Linked DNA regions of Cricetulus griseus. The protein of the gene in region 3 purifies or fractionates together with the protein of the main gene of each other region. This does not show direct contact. Links are inferred from orthologs where the notes say so. Each region holds a gene or a part of one and is shown on either strand. Other genes may lie near its edges.

The links.
Region 1: the proteins of Git1 (region 3) and Pak1 purify together in Homo sapiens (affinity purification with mass spectrometry; 6 studies listed by BioGRID and IntAct, with this or other methods). This does not show direct contact. The link is inferred for Cricetulus griseus from reciprocal best matches to the Homo sapiens genes GIT1 and PAK1.
Region 2: the proteins of Git1 (region 3) and Grk2 purify together in Homo sapiens (affinity purification with western blotting; 4 studies listed by BioGRID and IntAct, with this or other methods). This does not show direct contact. The link is inferred for Cricetulus griseus from reciprocal best matches to the Homo sapiens genes GIT1 and GRK2.

What each region holds. Positions count from the first base shown.
Region 1 is NC_048596.1:101,664,528-101,668,273, forward strand, and holds the start of Pak1 (serine/threonine-protein kinase PAK 1), read right to left. Parts: upstream 2,271-3,746; 5' UTR 2,101-2,270; coding exon 2,032-2,100; intron 1-2,031. UniProt on the Homo sapiens protein: Protein kinase involved in intracellular signaling pathways downstream of integrins and receptor-type kinases that plays an important role in cytoskeleton dynamics, in cell adhesion, migration, proliferation, apoptosis, mitosis, and in vesicle-mediated transport processes.
Region 2 is NC_048596.1:54,951,594-54,955,339, reverse strand, and holds the start of Grk2 (beta-adrenergic receptor kinase 1), read right to left. Parts: upstream 2,212-3,746; 5' UTR 2,011-2,211; coding exon 1,898-2,010; intron 1-1,897. UniProt on the Homo sapiens protein: Specifically phosphorylates the agonist-occupied form of the beta-adrenergic and closely related receptors, probably inducing a desensitization of them. Key regulator of LPAR1 signaling.
Region 3 is NC_048600.1:90,901,546-90,905,191, reverse strand, and holds part of Git1 (ARF GTPase-activating protein GIT1), read right to left. Parts: intron 2,694-3,646; coding exon 2,560-2,693; intron 2,155-2,559; coding exon 2,042-2,154; intron 1,934-2,041; coding exon 1,828-1,933; intron 1,326-1,827; coding exon 1,108-1,325; intron 1,027-1,107; coding exon 932-1,026; intron 592-931; coding exon 549-591; intron 1-548. UniProt on the Homo sapiens protein: GTPase-activating protein for ADP ribosylation factor family members, including ARF1.

The DNA.
Region 1 (3,746 bases), on a different chromosome or scaffold from region 3:
ATCAAAAATTCTAAAAGAAAAAGAAAAGAAAGCCTAACCAAGAGGGAGAGGATGCAGGGGAGAAAAGAAAAAACAGAAAACAAAAACAACTGGTTATAGAGGGGAAGAGACAAGAAGTGGAAAGCATGAATACAAGGAAAGGAAGGAAGAAAAATGGTGAGGTAGGAGAACAGGTGAGGGGGCAGGCAAGGAAAAAATGACCAGGAGGAGGAGGAAGGAAAGGAAGGCTTGTCAGAAGAAATACACAGCTTTTTTGAAACTGAGATTAGAAAGCAAGCCCAAAATAATCAAGGTACATTAATATTTGTATTTCTTGGTGCCAAATAATAAAGGAAGGAATTACAGTGATTAAGGCATTATACAATCTCAAGGTCTGCAATTTACTTAGTAGATCAATAACAGTGCTCCTCAGAAGACAGCCTAGTTTATAGCAGTGGCCTAAGTATCAAAGAATTGGCCAGTTCAGGGAAAAATATTAACATACTTTCACCTGTTTCTTCTCAACCCCCACTGCCCTACAGCAACATACCTACACTGGCCCCTAAGAGAGAATCAGCATTTTCAACCTGTCTTGCCCTGAAGTCACTGGTTCTAATCAGACCAGCAAAATACACACAGAAGGCTGGCTCCTCTAGTCTGTATCTAGCTCACCTTTCCAAGGTAACCTGACAGCCTAGGAAACCCAGTTACAAACATTGTATACCCTTCTCTACAAATAAGGAAACTGAGGCTCACAGAGGCTGCCTAAACAGGAACAGCACCAGGGGTCTCCTTCTTCACTGCATCTCCTACCAGGGAGCAGTACCTTTGATCCTAGTAAACCTTCAGCTAAACCAAGGCACAGAAAGGCATCACCCAGGCCACTAAGCAGAAGCATGCTTACAAAGGAGGGCAGGGGGGGGGGCCTCATAGTTCCCCAAAAATCCAGCTTCCCCTTCTAACCTTTTCTAGCCAGATCTCTAATTCCAGCAAAGGCCTAGCCCTGAGTGGGCTTATTTCAAGGTTCCACCCTGAGGCCCTTCCCTCATTAAGAGTCCCTTAAGGTAAGTGGAATGTAATGCTCTTCCATTCTACCCCACAAAGCAGCAAGACTCCCCCTCGTCCTACCCTAGCTCAGCCTAGCTGTGCCAGGCCCAGGAAAGGCCGGCATTACCTGGCAGGGAGTGCGGGGCCCAGCATCTCTGATGATCTTGTGTATCTGTCGCAGCGCCGCACCTCTCCCTGCTCAGCAGTTGCGACAAAGCCAGGGCTGAACCAGCCTGACAGGCTGGATTCGGCTGGGTACAGCAGAACAGCCACACAGCTCCAGAGGAGCAGCACACTCTGGCCCTCTCAGGGCGGCAGCAAAGACAGAGTGGTTCAGTGAAGGGGCGGGGAGGGAGGGAGGAACAGAGAAAGGGAGGGGAAGGGGGCGGGGAGCGCTCTCCCCGCCCTCTCCTTTCTGAAGAGGCGCTGAGGGGCGGGAAGCAGCTACATCCCCACCATTCTGGTTGTCTCTGCTGTTCTACCAACTCAGGCTCCAACAAGAGGTGCTAGGCAGGCTGTCTAGAGCTACCAAAGTCCCCTTGAGCCCCAGGATCAAGAAGAAAACCGGAGATCCTCTGTGCCTTAGTTCTGCAGCCTGGTATTGAGGAGTCTTTCCTAGACCTCCTCAAATCAGATTGAAGGTTCTTTCACACTAGGATGGAGAGGGGGAGATCTCTTAATATTGACTCTCAAAAAGTTTCCCTTATACCATCCTCTCCTTTGAACAAAGCTCAGCAATAGCTACCATTTGTTAAGAGCTATTTATTGTATGTGTCCCAGTACTTTACAAGCCTTATGGAGTAAGCACTACATCAATTCACAGGTGTCAGAATTGAGGTCCTAGAAGAATATGATCTCCGAATTTCTTAAGGACCTGCTAGATACTAGTCACTATGACAGAACTAGACCTGGACAACATATTAAAGAACCAACTCTGGACTGTCCCCTCCCAATAAAAGGTACCCCTAAAGGACTACAATGATTTAAAAAAAAAAAAAAAAGTACCTTCACATATTTCCAAGTGCTCCACAGGAGACAGTATCTCTCACCACTGGCTCCACTCATCCAACTCATCCCTTGCCTTTGAGGTTTATGACTGGAGTCAAGTTATGCAGATTATCTCTTCCAGGTCACAATTAATGAGTTTGGATGTTTTAAATTATTTACATCTCTTGTAATAAGATTGGAGGATAACTCATGGGAATCAGTTTTCTCCTCTACCATATGGGTCCCAGGGATCAATCTTGGGTTGTCAGGCTTGGTGGCAAGTGCCTTTACTCACTGAGCCATCTCACCTGCTCATAACTTTAGATTTTGCTCCAAGTTTCAGCAATGGAAGTGCTCTGAAAAAACAAAATGACAAAAGCTGACATTTTTAAAAGACCCCTGGTCAGTGGGAGAGAGTGAGGGCAAGAGCACATTAACAGAATCTCTTAGAGCTATAGGCAACAGAAAGAAGAAGATAGTACTAATTTATTATAATATCTAAGATGAAAAGAAGTAACACATTCTGAAGATACTGCTTGAAAGTAACACAGCAGACCAGGTATAAGACAGGAAGCAATGGATAAGAAAATACGGTGACTTCCCCAGCATCACACATCCAGTAAACAACACAATCATCTATATACCACGGTCTGGTTCCTAAGCCTGTTTCTTTTTAGTCCTCTCATTTATCTGTTTTGTTTATAACAGATCATTGTTGGTCATCTTCATACTAACTCCAGTAGCCCAGTCTTTACTGACTAGCATAGAGTATCCACTAGACCAGCATGAAACCCAACTCACTAAATATTCAGCCATCTTCCCTGACAAATGTTTGCACTTCCATTCAGTGTGCCCAAATTCATCTAATTGCAGAGAAAGAACTGTAAACAGAAAAAATTCAGCTCTTCCATTATTCACCCTTTCCAAATCTTGAGTATGTGCAGTATTTGAGGAGATAGGAATTTCTACATTAAAAAAAAAAAAAAAATGGGGCTGGGCAGTGGTGGTGCATACCTCTAATCCCAGCACTCAGGAGACAAAGACAGGCAGATCTCTGTAAGTTCGAGGCCAGACTGATCTACAGAGTGATTCCAGAACAGGCTCCAAAGCTACAAAGAAATCCTGTCTCAAAAACCTAAAATAAAATAAACAATTGGGACCAGTAAAGTGGATCAGTGGGTAAAGGCACTTGCTGCCAAGACTGATGACCTGCGTGTTCTGATGGAAGCTTCACCCCAGTCCCTGGCATCCATATACCCAAAGGATCTGGAATGTTTTGGTGGAAAACCCCCTCCCCCACCTCTCCAAACTGCCCCATCTCAGAAAACCCATCAAATGATGACCCCTCCCCCAGAGATGTTCAAGACCACTCCCACAGGGTATTTACACTGTACACCAGAAAACATTGTTTCCCGGTCTCTCTTTTCTGTCTCCTCCCTGGGGGACTGGAAAACCAACCAGGAGAATTGTATCCATTAAATCTGGGCTTTTTCTAGTTTGGTTTGATTTGGTCTAATCTGGATTGCTATACTGGTGGAGAGGCTTATCAGGGTGCAGAAACTTTTCACAGAGTTCAATCCTTGGGACACAGGTTAAACACAAGTATCTCTTTCCCATGTTTTCCTCTGATCTCCACATGTATATCATGACATATGATACACTACATACACAAATAAATAAATGCAATAAAACTTTTTAGGTACTGTAGAAATGGTTCAGTAGTGTTGAGCACT
Region 2 (3,746 bases), on a different chromosome or scaffold from region 3:
GGGAAAGGGGAAGAGGCACAGCTCATTCATCAGGGTTCTAATGCCTGCAGAAGACACTCAAGGCAGGGCCCAGTAGGAGAAATGCATTCTGGGGAAAGATTATCCAAATATGGAGAGTTCTAGAAAAAGGCACCACCTCAAACTTTGCAGACCTCACACCTGCACAAGACTCTCATGGCTGTGGCTGCCCAGAAGAGATAGACAGTGCCCTAGATGCTAACTGCAAGCCTCCCCCTTCTCTTCCCTTGAAGTTTTGTCATTTCTGAACTCATTTCGTCCTAACTGCCGCTGCCCCTAGACAGCCCTGGCTGACACTCGTCTAGTTCCTGTTTTGAGAAATCTGATTGCAAATGTCTTAGAAAAAAAGGGGGGGGCAACGGCCTCTTCGAAACGCAGACCAATTTTTCCTCTACGGGCCTGATTCTCAGTCAACCCGAAACCCAGTAAGCAGCCACTGGAGGAGGGGCATGGTAAGTGTACAACAGCATCCCTGTAAGCTGCCAACCCTGCTCCAACAACTGGGGCCACCAGAGGCCTATTTCATACTGCCCACATTTCACAGAGGTAAAAATCAAGGTCTAAAAGGAAAAGAACTTGCCCCATGTCTTGTGATAAGAGTATGGTGGTAAAGTCAGGAACAATTCTTGGCTGCTAAAGGGACTGTCATGAAAAACTTCTGGGACTGACCTCACCACCCATCCACCATAAGGCATCCTGATGTGTAGAAGACACATCTGCTTTTCCAGACGCAGGACATCCAGGCCATCCTTCAGGTCAAGACAGTGAACAAAAGATACAACTAGAAGCCCTGATGTGGAGGTTGGGTGACACTGAACAAGCCATTCAAGGGGGAGCTGTACCCCCGCCACACACACACACACAAACCTTGTTCTATGGGCACAAAACTACACCTGTCTCACTCACTCTCTGGTCTCCTGTGAGTTCAAATGGGAAGGTAAGTCTATTTGCCACAATATACTGGACAAACCCCAGCTACACTTCTCACATCCTGCCCGATTCTGCACCCACATCCTGAACAGTTTAAACTTTGATACCAGGTGCAATGACATCAGTTGTCTTGCAGAAAGGTGGCAGCACGGTCCAGCTACTGTAGGATGGGCTGTCCCCTCGTCAAAAGTACCTACAAGGCACCACATGGGGAGAAAACGGAGAAGGGACTACCCTCACCTGAGCACAGCCCCGAGGGATGGTAGACACATCACACAGCACTGTCCCCCCAAAGTACTCTCAAATCCAAGCCAGGGGCAGTGACACTACCAGATGAGAAGGCAAAAAAAAAAAAAAAAAAAAAAAAAAGTCTCCAGACTGGTCCTCCCTACTCCACAAACCGAACAAGAGTGTTACCCACTCTGAGGGGAGTGGATAGGACAGTGGAACGCCAAAGAGGGGGGTGCTGGGAGCAGGAGCAACAGACTGGGTAAACAGAGGCAGACCTGGGGAAAGGAACCCCAAGGGGACACAAAGGGTGGAGGGCAGAGTCCAGCACCCAGGGTGGGAAGACAGCTGCAGCAGAGCTAGGGGCTGACAGCGACCAGGCCCAGCAGTGAGATACAGGAAGCGGTAGCGCGGCCGGGAGAGCGCGATGGGAGCTTGGAGTTGGGGCGCTCCGGGCTCGCAGGCACCGGGCCTTGCGGTGGCAGGGAGAGAGGAAGTCCCCGGGTCCTGGGGCGGCCCGGATAGTGGGGTCTCCGGAGCAGAAGATCCGGGAGTATGGGGGTCCCCGGGTCCTGGGGCGGCCCGGATAGTGGGGTCTTTGGGGCAGAGGGTCACCGGAGCAGGGGGAGTCCCCGGGGCCTGGGGCGGCGGGGAGAGAGGGGTCCCCGGGGGCATGGTACCCGGGTCGGCGCGTGGGGCCCGGCAGAGGCGGGCTCCTCACCTGGGCTCTGGAAGCAGGATCTTCTTGCTGGCGCGCGCGGCCGGCGTGGCCTTGCTCTTCTCCATGGCCATCAGGTAGCTCACATCGGCCAGCACCGCCTCCAGGTCGGCCATCTTGGCGGCGGCGGCGCTGTTCCTCCCGCCGCCCGAGGCTCCGCTCCGCTCCCGCTCGCTCGGCCCGGCTCGGCCCGCGCGGCTTGTCGGCCTCGGCGCCGCCGCCGCCCCGTCCGGTCCCCGCTCGTCGCCTGCTCACAGGCGCCGCCGCCCCATGGCGCCGGCTCGGGCCCGGCCCGGCTCGCGCTCCGCTCCCGCCGGGACTGCAGTCGGGGGCCGCCGCCGCCACCACCACCACCACCCGCCCTCCCTCCGCCCGCCCGCGCCCGGAGCTGCCGCCGCCGCCGCCGCCGCCTCCGGCCCCGCTGCCGCGCACAGCGCCAGCGAGCCGCCGAGGGGCCGAGCCGGGCGGGCGGCGGGCAGGCGGGCGGCAGCGCCCCCTAGAGGCCGCGCTGCTCGGGTCCGGGACAGGGACGCGGATCGCAGTCCTGGGCTGTTACCTGAGTCCTGCACCCAGGACTCCGGGACGACCCTAGGGGATGGCCACAAACTGGGATCGCATCTCCTCAGGAGGCTAGACTCCATGCTCCCAGCAGGGCGTGGACCCCAGACCGTGGACGATAATAAGAATCCTGACACCGACCAAGATCCCAGACTCAGATTTCAGAACATTTTCTCAGGATCACACTAACATAAACACCTCGGACCCCAGACCTCGGGTGACAATACTATGAACATTTTGCTGTTGTTTTCCTTATTTTTAGACAGGGTATTGATTGCCATGTAGTCCTTGGTGTCCTGTAACTCACCACGTAGACCGGGCTGGCCACTAACTCACAGAGCTCTGCCTGCCTCTGCCTCCCAAGTGCTGAGATGGATTAAATTGTGTGAGCTACCAAACCACACTCCGATGAGGGCTGAACTTTTTTTTTATTCCATTATTTTTTATTTACTTACTTATGCACATATGGAGGTCTGAGGACAGACAATTTGACAATCAGTGCTCTCTTTTTTTTTAACCACTTGGGTGCCTAGGGATGGAACTCAGATCCTCAGGCCTGGTGGCCTTCTAAGTGCCTCCTTCTATCGTAACCAACTACTGCCTATTCTGTCCTTCCATTACTTGAGAAGCAGAGGCAGGTGTCTTTCTGTAAGGTCAAATCCAGGCAGTGCTAAATAGTGAGACCATATCTCAAGCAAACAAATGAAAAAAAAAAAAATTAGGGGCTGGAGAAATGGCTCAGAGGTTAAGAGCACCGACTGCTCTTCCAGAGGTCCTGAGTTCAATTCCCAGCGACCACTGGTGGCTTACAACCATCCGTTATGAGATCTGGTGCCCTCTTCTGGTGTGCAGACATACATGGAAGCAGAATGTTGTATATATAATAAATAAATAAAATCTTTAAGAGCACCTTTCTGATTTCCAAACGTGCCTGGGCTCTTCAAACCCAGCTCTGGACACTTAGAAACTGATTCTTGTTCCAGTTCACAGACCAGCAAAACAAGTACCCCTACTTCCTTTGCTCTTCTTCACTGCTTTGGATCAATACAAATCAGATGGGGGGGGGTTATCAGTGGATGATATCCTTGGACATCCAAGTCAAAACCCAGGCTGTTTTCCCCTGACCCCTGCTTCATCCTCCCCTCCTCCCTACTTCATCACTACAGCCTCCTGAGTATTCTTTGTCTTGTTCATATCTCAGGATCCTTATAACCACTGCCCTACTGATACAGGCTCTGACCAGAATGGCTGTTCCCAAAACCAGATCTGATGGGATTACTGCTCATTTAATGCC
Region 3 (3,646 bases):
GTGTAGCCCTCTGAGGACCACTAGGTGGCGCCACCATCTGTCTTGTAAACTGAGTAAGTGGCTGGGGATAGCCTCCACTGCCTGGGTTATCTTGGGGCCTCTGAGATCAGAGGCAGAAATTCCCCATTACTACCCTGCCTGGGATTCCCATCCAGTTGGGAGCACACTGGGGGCCTGGCTAGTAGTCCCAAAGTCAGCCAGTTCCCCGGAGCTATCTTCTCCCTGCAGAGGGAATCCTTTATCCAAAGTGACACAGAAGTCCAAACGCAGTGGTCCAACCTAGTCAGGCCTTCTTTCCTTGTACCAACCCCCGCCCTCCAATACTTAGTAACCACAAGGCTCAGGTGCACTGGTGTGTGTTGAACCGACATTTCTCACCTGCCTTGGGGGTATACAGTAGGTGGCAACTAGGCTATGAATTTCTGTGTTGCTAGTCACTATGTGTATAGGGTGGGGTGCCAAGCCACTGAAGCCTGGGAAGATGTAGGGCTCTGGGTCAAGCCACCTTGACATCTAATAGCTGAAAGGGGCATCAGGTGGGCACTCACCTGTCAGCCATCTGTGGGATGATGTAATGCCCATTCTTGTGATCTGAACAAAAATAAAAATGCCAAGTCACTGATGCCAGGTGGCGCCAGCACCCAGGAGCTTACCTCACTACCATGAGCAGGGTTTGACACCTGGAAGTGTCAGAGGAAATGGAGGAGGGCAGGATACCCCAAGAGCATTGAAAACTGGCTGCAAGTCAGGCCCACCCCCACTCCTTGGCCCCAACATGCTTGCAGCAACCCAGAGCCTGCAGCAATTTCACAGGAGCCAGTTGCCTAGCAACACAGTTCCCCAGCTGGCTTTGTCACTATGGCACCTGCTCCTGGGTGTGCCTAGGTCCCACCTGCCTGGCCTAGTCAGGCCCAACTCATTCTCTGCTCACCGGGCTTGCGTCCACAGAGGTAGAAGGCCAACCGGTCAGTGAGCTCATACTGGCACTCAACTAGCCTTTCTGCCAGTTCATGGTGCCCCGCCTGCCTGTGGGGAGGGACATGGCTCAGCCCTACAGCAACAGTCCATTCCTCTCCACCTAAGCCTCACCCTTTAACTGATTCTCACCTGGCATAGTCGATTGGCGTGCGGCCATTGACATCAGGGGAGCCGGGGTCAGCCCCATACACCACCAGCAGTTCAGCCTGCAGTGTCTGCCCCGCCTTGGCAGCCACATGTAGAGGTGTAGTGCCCTTTTCTGGGTGAAAGAAGTTGGCCTGGGCACCCAGGGAAAGCAGGCGAAGACATGTCTCCAAGTTGCCTGTTCGCACACTGGAGTGCAGTTGCTGCAAGGAGCAGTGTGTGGTTAAGTGGGAGTGAGTGTGATGGATACTTGTGAGTGTCCGAGGAACCTCCCCCACACACCTGGCTGTTCCTGGTACTCCTACCAGCTCCAAGGGGCCTCGACAAAACTGGGCCATGTCAGGCAGGCTAGAGGGTAATGTCATTAACAGTTACTCCCAGTCACTACCCTTCATGTGCTCTGCTTGGAACACACAGAAACTAGAGGCAGGTGTGTTACTACTATCCCATTTCACTGATGAGGAAATAAAGGCTCCGAACAGCTAAGCGAGTACCCCAAGTTTTCCTAGCTTCAAGTCGTAGACGGGAGGCCCTATGTCTGTCCACGTGAGAGTGGAGGTATCTTAGCCACCAGCTGCATGACAGAGCAAACTTCCCTAGCCCCAGGGTGTCTGCACCTACTTTTTTCCCCAGCCCTGGGTTGCCTCTGGGACTTGAATATGGAAAGAGGGGTGGCCCACCCATCTGTTGAGGGGCTCCTCACACCTTGCTGAGGTCTTTGGCAGTGACGCCATCATCATCGCGGCAGGGAAGCTTGTGCACAAACGCCAGCATTTGGTACTTGGCCCTGATGAACTCTGATTTGATGGGGCTGCATGGAACACACAGGAGGCCATGGGAGCGGAGCTTAGGACAACCACCATTCAGGCCCCTGTCCCAGAAACACGGCCCTGCCCACCACCCCTGCAGCCCCACTCACTGGACTTTGTCTTGGGGGTTGGCTTTACGCCGGCCACTTTGCACTTGTGCAGGGTCCAGCAGGGAGTGCTCCCAGATGGAGTTGGCCCCGTTGCTGGCAAGCGTGTGCACCATCTGTGGGGAAGAGATGCCAAGCAAAAGAGTGCCCACTCTGTGCTGGGCACTAGGGGAGACATTCCCAGAGTGCCTGCTGCAGCTGGAGATACCACCAAAGGTCCTACTGTGTGCCTGCTATGGCTGCCCTCTATCCAGTCAGGCCACCCAAAGTCATGTGTCCTGTGTTTAGCACTTCATGCTGGCTTACCCTGGTGGGTTTGCCAAGGTTCAGAGAGTTTCAGCAACTTGCTCAATGCACTGTCTAAGATAAGCATCCAAGCTAATGAATAGACACTACAGGGGAAGGGGTGAGTGGAAAGGTTGAGGGTCATACTACTTTAAGTGGCTACTGTCTGACAGGAAGAGGGTTGGGGATACCTGGGCACTGCACACTGGGAAGGAGTCTCTGGTTTAATCCCCTACCTGTAGCAGTGTAGGAGGCCAGGCGCTGTGGCGAAGGTGCTTGACAATGGAGATGTGTCGTCCCAGGCTCCGATGCACACTGCAGCACTCGTCACAGACCAGCACACCTCTGCTGATAGATGCCCAGCCAGGATCTGGGGGAGCAGAGTAGGAAAGTCAGCTGAAGCCACAGGACAGGCACTACTTCCTAAGCAGCTGCTCTGGCCTGGCATATGCTTAGTGCTTCAGGTACATTCACTCAATCTGCTCAGGAGCCCAGAAGCTGGCTACGAGCCCTTTCCTGTAAGTCCTTGCACCTTCCTGGGTATGCATGGTCCCCAAGGATTCTCAGTGGGTACAGTGTCCTGTCTCACAGCCACTGCTACCAGTTTCACAGCCTCTCCTCAGGAATCAAGACTGCTGCCTAGCCATTCCACAGGGAGGCAGAAGTCTCCTATGGGATATGACCCTGACGCCGTGTATCACACAGTCCTGGGTATGTTCCTGTTGGACCCCATCCGACAGACTGGTTCCTACCCCTACTCTGACACAGTTGGAGTTTCCAGCTTCATGCCACCATCAACTGTGGGCTGCAGCCTTAAGGACAGACTGAGCAATGGAACTAACCTTGGCTGAGGTTTCACTATTTACTGGCCAAGTATTTTGCTCACAATTCCTTTCACAAGTGCTATCTTGCTCTACTGATGAGGATTCAGTGGCTCAGAGAGGTCAAAGGGCTTGCTCAAGGTCACACAGCTAATAAGCACAGCTGCTGGGATGCTGGAGGCAGGTACTTCAATGCCAGACCAGGCCAAGCCTAAACTTGCTGCCCTCTGCCCCTGCAGTCTCAGGACCAGCCTGGGAAGCCATTCTCCAGTGAGGACAAGTGGGTAGGAGCTCCTGGTCCTCAAGGGTAGTAGAGATGCTACCACCCCAAGCCCCTCTGGAGAAGGGGAGGAGAAAGCACACACAGCTCAGGCCACAGAAAGGAAAGGTCATGGGGGAGAAAGCGGCCATTGTGTGCTGTCCAGAGTGGGGGCAGGGAGCTGCTCTCCCAGGACACTCTGCTCTGCCCAGGCCCCCACCCAGGCCCAGGAAGCCTTGTTCT